Linked DNA regions of Caenorhabditis elegans. The gene in region 1 interacts genetically with each later gene. Each region holds a gene or a part of one and is shown in the gene's direction. Other genes may lie near its edges.

What was found.
Region 2: of eor-1 (region 1) and hlh-30, changing one enhances a phenotype caused by changing the other (phenotypic enhancement), as found in Caenorhabditis elegans (one large-scale study listed by BioGRID).
Region 3: of eor-1 (region 1) and lin-29, changing one enhances a phenotype caused by changing the other (phenotypic enhancement), as found in Caenorhabditis elegans (one large-scale study listed by BioGRID).

What each region holds. Positions count from the first base shown.
Region 1 is NC_003282.8:4,793,164-4,800,788, reverse strand, and holds eor-1 (Zinc finger protein), read left to right. Parts: upstream 1-1,601; 5' UTR 1,602-1,612; coding exon 1,613-1,694; intron 1,695-1,755; coding exon 1,756-2,036; intron 2,037-2,091; coding exon 2,092-2,205; intron 2,206-2,263; coding exon 2,264-2,406; intron 2,407-2,451; coding exon 2,452-2,625; intron 2,626-2,680; coding exon 2,681-2,938; intron 2,939-2,986; coding exon 2,987-3,060; intron 3,061-3,162; coding exon 3,163-3,347; intron 3,348-4,121; coding exon 4,122-4,320; intron 4,321-4,376; exon of another isoform or gene 4,377-4,525; intron 4,526-4,776; coding exon 4,777-4,960; intron 4,961-5,169; coding exon 5,170-5,270; intron 5,271-5,921; coding exon 5,922-6,130; intron 6,131-6,180; coding exon 6,181-6,363; intron 6,364-6,792; coding exon 6,793-7,082; intron 7,083-7,144; coding exon 7,145-7,397; 3' UTR 7,398-7,595; downstream 7,596-7,625. Other genes in the region: dpf-7 (Dipeptidyl Peptidase Four (IV) family), read left to right, coding at 1-46, 251-389, 437-553, 840-1,190.
Region 2 is NC_003282.8:4,025,120-4,030,020, reverse strand, and holds the start of hlh-30 (Helix-loop-helix protein 30), read left to right. Parts: upstream 1-1,893; 5' UTR 1,894-1,934; coding exon 1,935-2,114; intron 2,115-2,209; exon of another isoform or gene 2,210-2,293; intron 2,294-2,957; coding exon 2,958-3,143; intron 3,144-4,901.
Region 3 is NC_003280.10:11,930,217-11,934,883, reverse strand, and holds the start of lin-29 (C2H2-type domain-containing protein), read left to right. Parts: upstream 1-1,659; coding exon 1,660-1,768; intron 1,769-1,818; coding exon 1,819-2,016; intron 2,017-2,802; coding exon 2,803-2,876; intron 2,877-4,667. UniProt on the Caenorhabditis elegans protein: Transcription factor which regulates the expression of various genes, including those involved in cuticle synthesis and maintenance, such as collagens, and in lipid metabolism.

The sequences.
Region 1 (7,625 bases):
TGGTCGTGGTCCCCTTTTCCGGATTAGAACCTAATTTCACCGTTAGGTAGATTTTTTTTCTTTAGACTCAAAATTTATTGAAAAATCAACAAAAAAAGCATCGAAAGAATTGCAAAATTCACGGATCGAGCTTTCAATTTCAACCGCAATTTTCTATCTTTATTTTTTTAATTTAAAAATGTTCAAATAGCAATTTTCCCTGTTTATAAAGAATTGATTTATAAATTTAAAATTAAATTTAAATTTTCAGTACCGTTGACCCTGTGCTCTCTACAATGGTAACTTGTGGCTTCTGTGTGCTAGTTGTAAACTATCGGGAGCCATTTATAGCAATTCCAGGAACCTGCTTTCCAAAGAATTGTGGTTCGGAATGTATTAATGATGTTCATGTAGAGAATCGTTCGTTTTTTTCCTCATTTTATGATTTTTTTTACAGGAAACTGTACTAGAAGTTCTCGAGAGACACGGAGCGCGGTTAGATGAAAAATATATTTACTTGTATGGATTTGAATTTGGATCTTTTGTGGCGTGTAGTCTGATTATCAAACATAAGGTGGGATATTACATCGACGCGAGATTCTGCGATTTTTGGTGAAAAATACAATACCCGGTTTCGACACGACATGTTTTCTTCAGAAATATTTTGAAAGTTTTATTGATAGATCCGTCAGTTTTGCGACATTATAGTTAAAAAAAAACAAAGTCTCTGATTTCGGTACTCCACCTTTAACTTTCAAAAAATGTCGTGTCGTTACCCCGATATTTTTCTATTTTTGGCACGAAAATCACAAAATTTAGCGTCTCATGGATTTTCATATTTTTTAATTCACTATTTTCAGAAATTCTATAAAGGATGTGCACTCGTACGGCCGATGCTCGAATTTCCATTCACAACGTGTGCAGTTGATACAGAAAACCCTGAAGCTGAATTTCTGAAAGACGTGGAGCCGGTCTCACATGCGTCTGAAATTGTTACTCCGATGTTGATTGTTCTGGAGAATAAAAGCGATACAAAGTACAAAGATTTTGAGTCTACAATTCACAATAATGGCGTTCCGTGTTTTGGAGAATACGAAGAAGAAGACGAACAAGTGAATGATTTCGTTGTGAAAGTCATTCAATTTTATAGAACACCATATGGAGAATACGAGAATGGTTCTAGAATTGAAACGCCGGTTCCTGATGATTAATTATTTATTTTTTCTTTCTTGAATTATTACTAACTTATATTGTTAATTCATTAAAAAAACGCCGATTAGAACAATGTCTACATCAGCTTTAATTCGTTGTTAAAATATGTTACAAATTGGAATTTCGCTCAGTTTTAAATTTTTTATGTGTCGTTATGCTCAGATATATATTTTCTTTTTTTGAAATCTCGAATAAAATTTGAATTTCGTTAAATATATAACTATCGTTAAAAATCCATTGAAATAATATTTGCAAATCGATAATCTTTTAGATTGTTCAGTAGAGCGCGTCTGCACACTCCTCACCCGATTTGAATCGGAGCATTTATTCTAAGTTTATTGACGTCTTCCTCGATAAAATGTGAGTTTCCCATCGAATAAATTATAAAATCGCAATGAAAATTATTTCAATTTAATTTCAGATGACATTAGTAGCTAGTTCCGAAAACACAGGGCTCTGTCCAATGACATTTGATGATAGTTCTGGGCAAACCAGTCATATGTGTAAGAGTTTTGTATTTAATTCAATCTTGGCTTGATAATTAAATTAACTTTTATTTTTCAGTGTTCCAACGATTACAATATCAACGAAAAACCGGCCGATTTTGTGATGTGGAAATTGTTGTTCAAAACAAATCATTTGCGGCTCATCGAAACATTTTAGCAGCTCACAGTCCATATTTTGACGCAATTTTCAAATATTGCAAAATCACAAAGGAACAGCTCACAATAAATAGCAAATCTCCACAAGTTTTCGAGTTATTCCTCAATTATATGTACAGTGGAACAGTGATTATCGATCGATCAAGTGTTTCGGAGCTATTGAGATTTGCAAATAATTTTCTGGTAATATTATTGATTTTTCGATCGACTATTCCTGCTATAATTCCGTTTTTTTCAGATAGTGAAGCTAAAAGTGTATTGTGCAGCTTATTTGGATCGATATCTAGACGCGGCCAATTGCTTATCAATACGAACGTTAGCTCAGAGATATAATCTACCAGGACTTGTGAAAGTAAGAATTTGAATTTTTAAAGCTTTAAAAGCGAGAAACTTCGAATTTCTTTTTTCAGTCTGCTACAGACTACTTTGACAGCAATCTTAATCGATGTTTACTGGAATCCAGAGATATAATTGGTTACACGTATACACAACTGACAAGACTCATTGGAGATCCGAAATACGTGGATTGTATTACTTCTGACACTTATTTAAAGTGAGTTTTTTCGTTCCAAAATGACTAAAACAGTAATTTTTTCAGATTAATAGTCCGCTGGGTCGGTGAAGAAGTATCGAAGCGAGAGGAAATCTTCCGATTACTACTAGAATCCTGCGAATTTCGAGAAGTTTCAGCTGACACACTGGAATTTCTTCTGGATTACTCGCCGTTGCTATCGAAAAGTCAGAAAAGTCGATTTTTGCTACTACATGTCATGTAAGTGGAGTTGTTAAAGTTTACAAAATTATTACTGATGAAATAATTTTTGTAGGGAAACAAATAACATGCTTATGGAAAAGTACTCGACTCAACTGAGCAGTCTTCGTCAGAAAATCGTTGATCTTCCGATTCTCCACGATCCATCTCAATTTGAAGATGATATTTATGATTCAAGTGATTCTGAAGAGGATCCAGATGATTATATAGCTGATGGACATCCAACATCTGCACAAGTTGTTGAATACGGAAATGATGTTAATAATCGACTGAAAATGAAGATTGCATTCCAGCCGGGAAATGAGAAGAAGCGGTTAGTGATTATATGAAAAAATTGATAAAATTCAATGGAAAATTTTAGATTAAAACGACCAAAAGGAATGAAAAAACATCATTTGCACCCAATTCCACCGATTAATGCGACGGAAAATGAAAGTGAGCTGGTTTTTTTTCTCAAAAAAAAAGGGATTTTGTGAAATTGTAAAATCAAAAATTGAAGAAATCTTCTGTCAAATTCCTTATCAATAAAATTTCCAGGTATTCCATGGATCGACGAAGACGAAATTGATGGTGTATATGCTACATGTTCATTGGAAGGATGTCATACCTATGGACCAGTTGACAATTTGGATCCAGATGATTGTGAAGATGAAGAAGATCAACCTGATGAGAATGGACCGTCCACTTGTATTTTCTGTGGACTGCGGACTGCAAATGAGGAGGTATTGACAAAAAATAAATCAATTAAAACCTTGAAAAAATGCGAAAAAAATATTATTTTTCTCAAATTTAAACCGTCAATATGATTTATTCTATTTTTAGACGTCAAAAAGGTCTCGACACACCGAACAATGGGCTACAGTAACCTGTTGTCGGTGTGGTGAGACCTGACCAGATTTTGGCGAAAATTTCATATTTTGGCGTTTATTTAATATACAAAACTCGACACGACGATTTTTGGCTACATCAAGAAAATTTACGCCTTTAAAGATTACTGTATTTTCAATCTGAGGAGTTTTTATCGATTATTTTTAGTTTTTCGATAAAATATATTTATTTATCAACCAAATATTCCGAAATTTAAATAGTTTTTAAAAAGCTTAAATTTTAGAAAAAAAAACTATGAAAAATCAACAAAAACACCGTACAGTAATCTTTAAAGGCGCATAATTGTTTTCGGTTCTAACGAAAATTTGTCGTGTCGAGACCAGGCTCGAAAATTGCAAATTTTTGTGTCTATATAATATATATCTTTAAAAATATTTTTTTAAAGAATTACAGCACAATTTGGAAACTTTCATGCATAATTTATTTTTTTAAAAATATTTTGATGTAAAGTTCCATATTTTGGGAAAATGTAAAAACAAACTCGTGTACGAACGATCTTCTGCTGGTTTTATGAGTTTTATGTTCCAAAAAACCAAAAAAAAAAAAAAACCAGAAAAGTGTTGTAAAATATTTCGATCGATTCTTCAACAATTTCCTCATATTTTCAGCTTCTCGAAAAGCACAAAGCTCGTCATCACAATCGCAATACGTATTATATGTGTCATTTATGTGAATTTGAAACCAATTGGAGCAAACAATTCTATCTTCATTGTGCTGAGCACTGGACAGAGATACCGTATCGATGTGAAACGTGTCCGTTCACTTCAAATGAGATACAAGAGTTTTTGACCCATAGGCTTCAGCATAGTGAGTTTTTACAAAAATTTTGGAAAAAAACGTACATTTTTTAATTTTGAAAAAAAAACTCTTTTTTTTTGAAACTACAAAAAAATTAAATGTATTTTCAGATAAATCGTTTCTTTTTCTGAAATTCACAATGTTTCTTGAAATATAAACCTATTTTCATTTAAAAAACCAAATTATGAAAATTAATTTTTGTAAAAAAATTGATCGATAATGTTTTTTTCATATTTTCAGAATTTACCAACAATATCAATTTAAATTTTTAATTAATCTCCAAAAAATCGAATGAATAGCTAAGCTTTCAATTTTCTGTTTTTTTTTTAAATTTACCATCAGACACACGTTGACTTTGCCGAAGGAAACACATTAAAACCGAAAAAAAACGGCTGAATAAAATTGTTTTCCAAAATTACTTTCTAAAAGAAACAAAAAAACCCTCTAAAATTGTCAAATTTTCAGCCGACGAGCGTTTCTTCAAATGCGGTGAATGTGCATGGAAAGGTCGAACTCGTTCTCAACTGTTTGCTCACGAACGAATGCATTCTGTACTCGATGATCGATCATTACACTGTGAAGAGTGTGGAAGAGGATTCCAACAGCATAGTACATTGGATCATCATGTTGCTAGTCATAATGATCCTAGGTAAGTTTTTACTATGAAATTTCGAGATCTGAAAGTTAATAATGTGCGAATTTGAAATAAAAAACCATGCAAGATCTGATTTTGAGGCAATTCCAATTTTGCTAGTAACGTTTGGAGGCAATAATAATAATTGTCTCAAAACCAAACAAGGCGACTTTTATTCAAATTCAGAATTTTCACAATTTCCATCAAATTCTTCCAAATTTCAGGCCTTATATCTGTGAGGATTGCGGTTTCGCCACCAAAACCGCCGATCATCTTTCCCTTCATCGTCGTCAACATACTGGAGACAATTTTAGCTGTCACATTGGTCAGTTTGTATTTCCTGTAACACCACGCATTGGAATACACTGAATGCCAGAATAGTTCCGTTATCACCTGCCAACCGATCCATCATTTGGATGACTTTTGCGCAGTTCACTTCTACTTTTTTCCAACCAAAAACCCCCCTCGCTGCGTCTCCTTATCACCCGTACTATTCCATTAATTTTCGTTTCTCCTTGGCGACACAGCGCCGCCTTTTCCGCACAAAAAATGGTCGAAAAAACGAAAGAAAACGGCGGCTGAAGATAGAAACAGTGGTTAGATCATCTGTGGATCATATCACTTTCACTTTTTTTTTCTGCCGAACACACACTGGGGTACTGTAGGTATTTGGTAATGGTTTTATCGTCGCGCTCGACATAAAATCATTTCGACGTGTTTCATTAGTTTTTGCGCTTTTGCAGAGAACTTTTCTCAGAGCTTCTTCTTCTCCAATGCAGGGCCTTTCCCAGCTCGCTTCACGCTGTGCGTAATTTTTTCGAGTTTTTAAACATGGAGTATTGTTTAAACAGCTATGGAGTTGATCTGAGCAATTTTTTGTTATTTTTCCTATAAAATGACATATTTAAAGATCCTGAAAACTACACTATAAAATGACATATTTAAAGATCCTGAAAACATTACTGTTAATTTTCAGCCGGTTGCGACTACTCGTCGACCAAAAAAAGCCAACTGGCGGCCCATCTCCGTACCCACATGGCGGTTCGCGCCCATCTCTGCAAGATCTGTGGCCGTGGATTCATCGAAAAATCACATCTGGTCCGTCACGAGAGGATTCATTTGGAGGAGAAGCCGTTCAAGTGTGATCAGTGTGAATATGCATCTAGTCGGCGTGATAAGCTTAAGGTTTTTGAGCATTTTAGATGATAATTTTTGATAATTTTCATAATTTTTAGGAGCACATCATCAAGCATCACAATTCGGAAGTGCTCACATTCCAAAAGACTCAACGAAGAAAGTATAAGAGACAGAGAATGTTGGCTGCCGCGAGCAATATTGTGAATAATCCGGATGCTCTGTTCCGTCCAATTACTTCTGATGATGCTGTTAGCAATTGGCAGGCTACTAATGACTTTTCGGTAGGTTTATTGAATTAACGAAGAGCCAAGCGACAGAATTTCTGAAATTTCGCCAATTTTTCCTTGTCGAAGCAGCTGAAATATAGTTTCTTTCAAACTATAACCCGTTATTGCATATATTTTCGGTACTAGATCTTGCTTAAATTCGCCGATTTAGGCACTATTAAAGTCAATAAGCATCCAATTTTGGTCATATTATGCCAATATTGATGATTTTTGGATGCCTATCGACTTTAAAAGTGCCTAAATCGGCGAATTTCAGCAAGATCTAGTACCGAAAATATGCAATAACGGGTTATAGTTTAATAGAAACTATATTTCAGCTGCTTCGACAAGGAAAAATTGATGGTTTTTGGGATTTTTGAAAAATCGGCCGTTTGGGGTTATACAAACTTAGAATCTAGAAATTTCTCATTTATCAATTTCCAGACGTACTCTCCGAATCCCAACGATTACGGTGGACCATCAACTTACGGCAACCCTTCATCTCCTCAGCGTGCCTTCTCAGTCGTTCATCCATCTCAACATCAACATCATGCCCAATCACCTGGCTGTATGTCTATGATGAATGTTCCATTACGGGACAATCATCATCAGATGCAGCGACAGGATTCACCGGGAGATTCTGTTGGAGGTGGTCAAGGAGGTGGTGGTGGTGGTGGACCTGAAGGATCAGACAATACACATGGAGTTTTGATGACACCTAACTTGGTGATGAGGTTTGTTACCTGTAAATTTTGCAAAAAGCAGTGCCGCATTAATTCTAAACATTATTTTCCAGATCTCCACATAACCGGAGTGCTGTCCAACCGCAATTCAACAATCTCTCCACAAACTCTGATCCACAACAACAGCAGCAACAACAGCAACTCCGTCCATTCTCACTTCCAACCTACGGACAAATGGATTTGGCTCAGGCGGCTCAACTCCAGCAACTTCAACAACAACTACAAGCAGCCGGGCTTCCACCGACTGGAACCCCGAATAATCAAGATAATTCCAATAATGCATGGAATCCGTGGAATGTACAATAATAAATATAGTCCTGAAACTGCCTAAAACCTCACTTTTGAAAAAACCCCTTTACTATCTTTGCCTTTTCTTGTAACATGTTTCAAATTGTTCTTAATGCCTTCATTTTGATATGTGTATGATCTCCTTGTTTAATGCCTAATTAGTCCTAAATGGTTTTTATGGTTATAAATAAATTTATGAAATTATAGATGACATTTTTAACTGAAACATTGTTTTATTTTTCTTCC
Region 2 (4,901 bases), 770 kb from region 1:
AAAGCTAATAGTAAGCCTTTGAACCTAAGCATTGGGACTTTAACTTTTGGAGCTAATAAACCCCTTTACCGGGAACACCACTAGGGACGTTCTGGGAACACCACTAGGGAGGTACCTAAATGTTAAGAACTAAGCCTAGAGGCAAACTTCATGGCCTTAGCTTACAAGCCTTGGGACCAGGGAGCCAAGCCTATAGATCTAAGCCTAGGGTCTTAAGTTTCGGACTCTAAATCTGAAATTCAAACTTACGAGAAATTGAGCAAAAAGTGTTGTCAATTTAAACCCTTTTTCAATTTAATCATCAATATTTGCCCCGACCTCTGGAAATATCACAATACCACCAATCCGGCGCCCCAACTCCTCCTTTATTTCTCAGTTAGCCCCCCCCCCCCTACTGTTTGCCGAGTAACAATTCTCTGCGTCTTGCAAATTCCCAAAACTTCATTGTACATACACATATCACTATCATAATCATCACACACTAATTATGAAAGAGAATAGGCGCCGCGCTTATCAGTTGGCGGCGGGAGGCCGAATTCTCCTTCGTCGCCTAAAAAGAGAGGGTTTTGTCGAATAGTTTTGTTTTATTTTCGTATTTTCTTTGCGTTGGTTGGAATTTAAAACAAACTTTTGATGGCGTCATTGTTGCTTTGGATCATTTCTTTGTCATGTTTTTGTGATGATAACCTGTGTTTGGGTTGAAAAAAAATCGACTTTTCCAGGTTTTTGTTGACTTAGAGACTTTGTGAGGTCTCACTTTTTGAAATTGATAGAGTGCCACTTCCAGACCCCCTAAAACTTCCAGCAAAGCCGCTGGGTAAAAATTCTACTCGGATCATAGAACGATAACATTTTCTTCAAGTTGTCTTTTTTGATCCATCCGTTTTCGCCATTTTTTTGTTTCTGAACCTCGGAAGCTTAAAAAATTCTAATTTTCCTGAAAACCCTGTTTCGAACGACCTAAGTAAGCTTCAAATGTCAGAAGTCCCTAGGTGCAGCTCCAGAAGGCTTAGGTTCTTAGGCTTAGCTTCCTAATTGTTCGCCCTCAAGGTAGGAATTTTTGGAATATTTTGTTCAGGACATCTAATAACACTTTTTGATTTTATTTAGATCACCTTAGATTGCATACTGCTCCATTGCCCGAACCTAGAAAAAAATCCTTGTCCGAACAAAGGCCTTAAATTGTTAAGCTAGCTTTATCTTTTGAATTTCTCAGATTTTTCAAAACCGAATTTTGATCTCCCTCATCTTTTAATCTTCTTCTAATCAAATCAAGCCCATCAAACTGTTCAAAAAAAAAGATCTCTGGCCACCTCCTCCGAATACAGTTTGTTGTGTTCTTCTTATTTTTCTCGACCTAATCTCTGATGTCTTAACTATATGGACCGTTACTATCTTGTAATTAGGATGGGGCCAATGATTTTGTTTAGGAGTTTAGTATTCTAGGATTCCAGCTACGCAGACAGCTAGCCACCCCCAACTGCCCTTAAGTAGCCTAATCGCCATTGTCTCGACAAGAACTTGGCAGGAGGTGGGGGACACAGTAATAAACGAAATGATCGGTGGTGGAGGCTGTGAGAGAAAGAGATAGGGGCGGGCGCGTGTGCGCCCGTGTGCCCCATCTCTCGCGCCTCTCGCTCGATCCTTTGGGGAGGGGCTGCTGTTGCTGGCGACGACCTCTTGATATGTCACATTGTGTCTGCCGCTCTCTCGCCTCGTCCTCTCGTATCACCTCGGTCTCCCGCGACCCCTTTGGGCGCCTCTCTCCCGACCCTTCCACTCGGTTTCTTCTCTTGTCTTTCGCTCTTTTCCCTCTCCCCCTTTCGAATTTTTTTCCTTTTTTTCTACCAACCAATATACCTTTTTATCGATTGATTTTTTTTTAATTCTCAGATCCCGATACTGAAAAAAAAAATCAGCGAATAAGAGCATTCATGATCCGCCAACTAAATTCACCAGGCGGTGGCGGCGGCCTCGGATTGAACAATCCGAGAGCCCAGCAGCCACCGGGTGCTCAACAGCAGCAGCAACCACAACAAGCCCAGCAACAGTTCTACGATGACGAGCCATATCAGGCTAACGCGTCGCAGTTTCGATTTGGCGCCGGCAAAAGTGTAAGGGCTAATAATTTTCTAGGTTCAGGTTTAGGCCAACGACATTTGGTCTTTACACCCTTCAAATAGCCCCGTTTCTTATCAGCTCTCTTTCCCCCCGCTTTTAGTTTCCTGCTCCGGGCACCCAACTTCCTTCCGGGACACTTGAGTAGCCTAACTCACCAGAACTTTGTCTTGAAATTCGCTCAAGATAAGACCCCCATCTGACGATTGATTGACCGGTCATGTGTGGTGACAATACACAAAAAGAGAAAAGAAACAAGAGAGCGAATGAGACTTGATTGTTTTGTAGTTTGTGGTTTCGGCGGTCCGTTTGGGCTTGACACAGGCTTCTAGTTTCAGTCCTATCAACGTTCTTTGAGCTGATATCAGTTTTGACCTACTTTATCAATTTACCAATCGCATTACCATTTTCATTGCGAGCCAAAACTCGCATTAAAAATTTACAAACCTCGCTTAAAATTGTACTTTGCTCTCTTCGCCCATTTTCTAAGCTTGATCCGATTTCAATTTCAAATCACAAATCGAATTTCAAACTCAGTTTTCTCATCTCTCGACGCCAATTGTCATCACTTTGGGGCCGGCGAGGCGGTGGCGACAGGGGCAGCTAATTTATCAAGTAACAGGGCTGCTCAGTTTTCTGATCGGCTTTGATTTCCCTATCTCCCAAATTAGAGAGATATAGACACAATGTTTTTGGCACACTGCCAACTTCCCGCCCGCCGCCGCCGCCAATATAGTAGTAGTAAACAAAGCAGAGCGCTCATGGTGCATCAACGACCGAAATTTAGTAGTTATCTTTCCATAATGATTTCTATCTCTTTTCTTATTTTGTATTTTGAGATGGAACAACGTCGAGAGACGGGAAATCTGATTCCAATCGCACAACGATCGATGGGCTCGACGTCGACACCGTTCGGCTCAGCGCCTACACAGAGCTACTTTGGCGGAGGGAGCAGTGGAGCGGCATTAAGTAGTCCAAGGAAGATGCAGCAGACGCATCAGATGTTGTTCGGCAATATTCAACCGGTTAGTTTCAAATTTTATTAAAAGAAAATTTTTGTTTTCTTACATTGTTTGAGCTCAAAGTCTCTACAGAAATAAAACAAAAAACGAAACAAAATACTGCATTCTAACATAATTTTTAACGATTTTATGGAAAGTTTAAAGGTAGTTTACAAGTTTTTTTTACCCAGCTCAATTAATAGTAAGAAAAAAAGCAGAATTTTTGGAATTTTTTTCTTATGAAAAAAAGTGGGCCTGAAAGGGCTCCCCGGTAACTAAATTGTTTTGTGGTTCTTTTTTTTTAATCTGTGTAAAAGTACCTTTTTCAAGAGTTGGGGTTTCTTGGCTCAAAATAAGCTTAAACCCTGCTCTTCTTCGCTTAAAGGCGTAGGCACACAATTAAATTGCTCGACATTATAGATCTTCAAACTTTACGTAAAAATTTCTTCCAACTTGCTCCCCTGAAACTGATATCTTTTCATTTTTCTTGTAGATCTCCCTTTTTTGGCATCTGTTGTTAGCCTAACGTCGTAGGGTCAAATTATAGAAGTTTGAATTTTTACAAAAAAATTGTTCTTGATTGGCTTTAACAATATGACCCCCCCCCCTGAGCCATGTATTTGTTTTCAAGCACTTTTGCGCCACGGCGCCCATTCCATATTTTTCCTTCCACATTCTGCGGTCTCTCCCACTCCCAGATGACTCCACCCTAGACGGAACAGCTGAAAAACGAAAAACGGGCGCTGAAAAAATCTTGCGTTTGGCACGTAGCCCCCCCCCCCCCCGGGTCTCTGTCTGCCTCTTGGACAGTGTCACGTGGTGTTCGGCTAGCTTCTCTCGGCGTCCGGTTGTTTTTACACTCTCCGATGGTCTCTGACGTGTGGTAGTGGTGGTGGATAGGACTGAGAAGACAATGAGATGTTTGAGTTGAACTTTCAAGTTGATTGGTTGGGTAGGGAGGGGGCTGTATGTGGACTAAAAGGTCGAATAGGACCCTAGCTATCAACAGCGCATCAAATAAAATTTGACTTTATGATACGAGTCTGTACCATTTGACTAGCTCATTACAAAAACCCACGAAGCTAACTCCAAGTTCCCGGTATTTCGTTTGAAACTTTTTTGCCAAACTTCGATGCTCGTAGAATTTATCCAAAACCAAATTTTCTGAGATTATTAATTTTTCAATGTTTAGGCCAAGCTTTTTGAAACTTTTTCTGAAAAAAGCAGAGTTTTTTTTTCGATTATTTCGAAATCCGTCGAATTTTTCATAATCGGATTTTCCCAGATTTATAACGCATTCTCAAAGCTTTTTGGAAATTTTTAGGACTTTTTCTCCCCATTTTGTCAGTGCATTTTCGCTAGTTTCAAGTCCCGTAGAATTTCTCCAAAACCAAATTTTGAGAGATTTTCAATGTTTTAAAGCATGAGGAAAACTAGGCAAATATTCTGGAAGCTTTTTGGAAAAAAAAACATCTTACAAAAAAAAATTGAAATTTCTCGGAACCTGGGATCTTTTTTTTTTCACAATCAGTACATTTTCCCCCTAATTTTGAAACCTGTAGAATTCAGGGAAAATCTGATTTTCATAGAATTCTAATGTATTTAAGAACGTTGAGAACTTAACTTTTTTCTAGAAATTTTTTCGACCATTAGAGTTTGTTTCCCAGGAATTCGAAACTTGTACAAATTTCGTTATCACTCTTTATTTGAACTATTTTTCTAAAATTGTGAAGTCCTAATTATTAGTGTTGTACGTTTGAATCCGGATTCGTTTTCGCATTG
Region 3 (4,667 bases), on another chromosome or scaffold:
GTGGGCAATTAAAGTGTATATTACAAGTGTCTCTCTACATTTTATCAGTTGTTTCATCACTACTAGTACGGTAGCGTGGTGGCACAACTCGTAAAAACCTTATAGTTTTTACGATCTACTGAAAATGTATTTGGGGACTTTCTTGAAACATGCTAGTGCTGGTGATAACGGTAGGTATGGAGAGTTGGGGAAGTTTGGGGTAGAGGTTGGGGGGAGAGAATGAGAAATTATTAACAAAAAGAAAAACGATTATTTCCGGCAAATCGGAGCATTGCCGGAATAGAAATGGCCCGGCAAATCAGCAACCGGAAAATTGCCGATTTGCCGAAAATTTTCGGCAAATTGTGGTTTTGCACACACATTTTTTTTTGAAAATTTCAGAAATTCAATTTTTATCGGCAAATTTATACGCATCCTATGATCATCCTACATCTATTCTGAAAAGTAAGCAAATTCTATGCAAATATATAAAGAAAACGGGAAAAAATTCAAAAAGTCACAATGTTTCCGTCTTACTAAAAATCCCTCTAAAAACTTCTGGCAAATAGATGTTCGGCAAACTGCAAACCTGAAATTTGCCGAAATTCAAAATTTACGGCAAATCGGCAAGACGGTAAATTGCCTGAAACGAAAATTTTTGGCAAACCGGCAAACCGGCAACCGGCAAATTGCCGGAAATTAAAATTTTCGGCAAATCGGCAAACCGGCAATTTCCGCCCAGCCCTGATAAGGACATCTCAAAAAGAGGTTTCCAAATTCTTGACGCTATTTTTCGCCTGCTCCTTTTACAGTATTCTAAACTGCTTAGGCGGCTTCACGAAAACCCGCTAACTTTCACCCCAATCCCTCTTCAAATCTGCTGTACATATTTCAAAACTTGCACAGCTGTGTGCACTGTGCACTTTTCCATATTTATGAGTTGTGTCTCGAAATGGAGAGACCGACTAAAATGAAACGGGAAAAAAAGTGAATTCGAACGTTTCGTGGCAGGTGGTGGGCACGTGTAATCGGAACCGAGTAAAAGGGAATCGAAAGGAGTAGACAAAGGGCATATAAGAAATCTTTCAGTTCTTCTTTGGGTCACATGGTTTTAGGAGATTTTTTTCTTGTCTTGAATTTCATTAGATTAAAGTATTCGTTAGGTACAATAATGCTACACTTTCCAAGTTTCACCGCCGTACTTCGGGGCAGGTGCAGTATGTTGTTCCTCGACTTGTGAAATCCAAGTCTATGCAAAAACAAAAAAAAATCAACATAGACCACCTGCCGTGTTTTCCGATTACGGTATGAGTATGAGTTTTTAGGCCCCACCTCTGTTAATTAACTTTTTCCTATAGTATTTTTTTTTCTCAAAGTGTAGATTATTAGCAATGTGGCCGTGTAATTTTTATGGGTCTTCCCAAAATTTTTGGAGCCAGGTAATATTTAATTTTACAGCCGATGGGTTACTGTATTAACTAGGAAATGGTAGAAAAAGATTTTACGAATATTTTGTTAGTTGCCTATTTTTTAGTCGAAGAAAACCACAACTGAGATATAAGCTATAATCAAAGTTGAGAATAAAAATTAATCCAAGTAGATGTTTTAGGCATTTAATCTATAAAGAAATATATACTTTCCTTTCAGCTTCGCGAGGATCAAGCCAACTTCTTCAACGCAATGGATCAAACTGTTCTAGATTCGGCATTCAACTCTCCAGTGGACTCTGGAATAGCTGGAACCACCACTGGCTCCGGATCTACCACCCATTTTGGTGTTGGAACAAACTGTGAGGATTTGATTATTTCAAGAAACTGATCATAAAAAATAAAGTTAAAGTTTCAGTGAGATCATCAAGTCGGTCAACCGACGGCACTGACTCAACGGACGGTGCCAACTCGGACAATGTGACCGGATCAACTGGATCCACACCAGCACATCATTCGATCACTAATTTGAATATGGCTTTGTCGCAACACTCCATTGACTCGGCAACTGCTGCTTCATCGACAAACCCGTTTCCGCATTTTAATCAAGGTAGATTTATCAAAGCTTTTGTTTCGAAAATTTCATTTAAATTCAATTTCTGTATCTTCAAAGAATAGAAAATGCGATCAATTTTGATAGCAGAAAACTTAAAACTGAGATTGAGCCTGCGCCTATGCTTAAATCAAAGAACTGAACTTTAGACAAAGCCTAAGAAAAATCCCATGTCTAGGTCCAAATCCAAGCCTGAACCTGAGCCCAGGTCTTCCGAAGGTCGTCGGTAAGATATTATTTTAGACTCTAGTAGCCAATTACTTCATCTACCCGTACAAAAAGAAGATAAACTTTTATCGTACTTCTAAGTCAATATATTCCCGAGTGAGCCTAGTAAGCCTAGGCCCAAATCCAAGCCTAAGCCTGACCCTAAGACTAAGCCTAAGCATAAGCCTAAACCTAAACCAAAGTTCAAGCATATTCCTTAGCCTAAGCTTGAGCATAAGCCTTAGCCTAAGCCTAAGCCTAAGCCTATGCCTAAGCCTAGGCCTAAGCCTAAGTCTAAGTCTAAGCCTAAACTAAAGCCTGGGCCTAAGCCTGAGTCTAAGCCTAAACCTAACCCTAAAAAATGAAAAATTTTCTGCAGACTGCTCATGGAGCCCCGATTTATTTCCATTCACTTTTGATGGTGACTTTGAAAGTAATTTTCTACATTTTAAAAATCGTGTCATTTCTCTAAACCACGTGTCTTTCCCATTTTTATGTACCAGTTCAAACGTACCCCCAATGTACCTGACCATCCAGATTTTCGGCAAATCATAACTAATTCAATTCAATTTTCAGCGGATCTACTGAACTTCCATCAGAATTCTCTCCTGCCACATCATATGTTTTCACAATTTGGAAGATATCCACAGGTTTGCATAGGGAACACATTCAAACGAGGGTGAAAAAGAAACATTTTTGAAATCTAGTTAGAAATGCATTCGGGGGCTATGGACAGGGGACAGGGGGTGTTTTTTCGTAGAAGTGTTCCGCACTTTTTTCGAACTAGAAAACAATTTTGAAATTTTGAAACATTTTTAATTTCATTAGTTTTGTTTTGCCTAAACACGGAGAAAAAATTACTCAATTTTTTAATGAATGCATTTTAATAAATAATTTTTTTAAAAACGTCATGCTTGCCTTCTTACGTGCCTGCCTTGCAAGGTGCTTTTAAGTACATCCCAATAGATACGCAAGCTTGAGGCAGGCAGACAGGTACCTTTTTTATTGGAGTTTTTTGTTCAGAATATAGTTTTGAAAATAATTGAAATATTGCTTTAAATGATAGATAGGCTTACTTTAGGCTCATGCTTATGCTTAGGCTTAGGCTTAGGCTTAGTTTTAGGCTTAAGGTTAGGCTTTGGCTCAGGCTGAGGCTTAGGCTTAGTATTAGGTTTAGGCTGAGGCTTATTCTAAGGCTTAGGCTTAGCTTTTTGAATTTAAAGATATTTTGAGTCGGCTACAAAAGAAAAAAAGGATACAACTATTTTTCCAGAAAACGAAAAAATTTTGGTTTGTTTGCGCGGGAATTCAAATTCAATTTAGGCGTTTTTTTATCATAAAAAATTTTGAAATTGTTGGAATTTTTTACAAAATTTTTTTTCTTGTTCTAACAATTTAAGCAAAATTTAAAAATGACTGTATTCCACCTTTTTGCCGGAAATCTCTGAAAGCAAGTAGGCTTCGTTCAAAAATCTGTGCTCTAAAAAGCAAACAAAAAGTTTGAAAAGTTCAACGAGACCAAAAAGTGATCAAGCTCAAGCTTTTCCTCGACTTTTCCGCCGTGAATTTTCTCCATAAAAATTTAATTTGTTTTTATCCGGTCTCAATATGGTCTCTGTAGAAATGTGCACTTTTCGATCGTAAGCAGCCCCGCAAAAACTCCCTTTCGCAGCAGCAAGAGCTCGTACCGTTTTTGTGTGTGCTCTTCTTATGTCCGTCTGTTCTCTTTTTTCGTCTTTTTTTTGCAGGAAAAATGGTATTTGGGATAGAAGGAGGAGGAGGAGAAGGAAACAAATAGAAACAGAGACTGTTGTTTTTTCTCGAGAGAAAGAGCCCAAAATCTCCATCTCGTCCTTTTTTCGCGCGCCCGCGAACGTAGGTACACAGATCAAATTTTTGAAAGGCTGAAATTATTGTGAACAGTATTTTTGTGTTTAAAACCAGTATGGTTTAAAACTAAAAAATGAGCTCATTTTTTTGCGTGCGTCGACGTTTTTTCTTGTTGACCTAGTGGACGAAATGGAACGCGAAATTTGTGGAGATGAAAAGAGAGTGAGAAATGTAGGATTTTTGAGCAAGAGTGTGTGCTCTTTTCCCCTGATCTGTCTCTCTCATTTTTGTATGTTGAACTGTTTGATTGACAATTTTTGTTAAATGTTCCTTTTTTCAAATTTGATTTGAATTTTGAGGATTATTTTTCTGTTTTTTTTTGTTTTTTTGCTTAGGCCTATTCTTAGGCTTAGGCTTAGGCTTAGGCTTAGGCTTGGGCTTGGGCTTGGGCTTAGGCTTAAGCTAAGGCGTAGGCTTAGGCTTAAGCTTAGGCTTAGGCTTAGGCTTAGGTTTAGGCTTAGGCTTATGGTTAGGCTTAGGCTTAGGCTTTTGCTTACATTGAGTCTCTTACATAAATTCAACTGGATTTTTTCAAATCTTCACAAAATAAC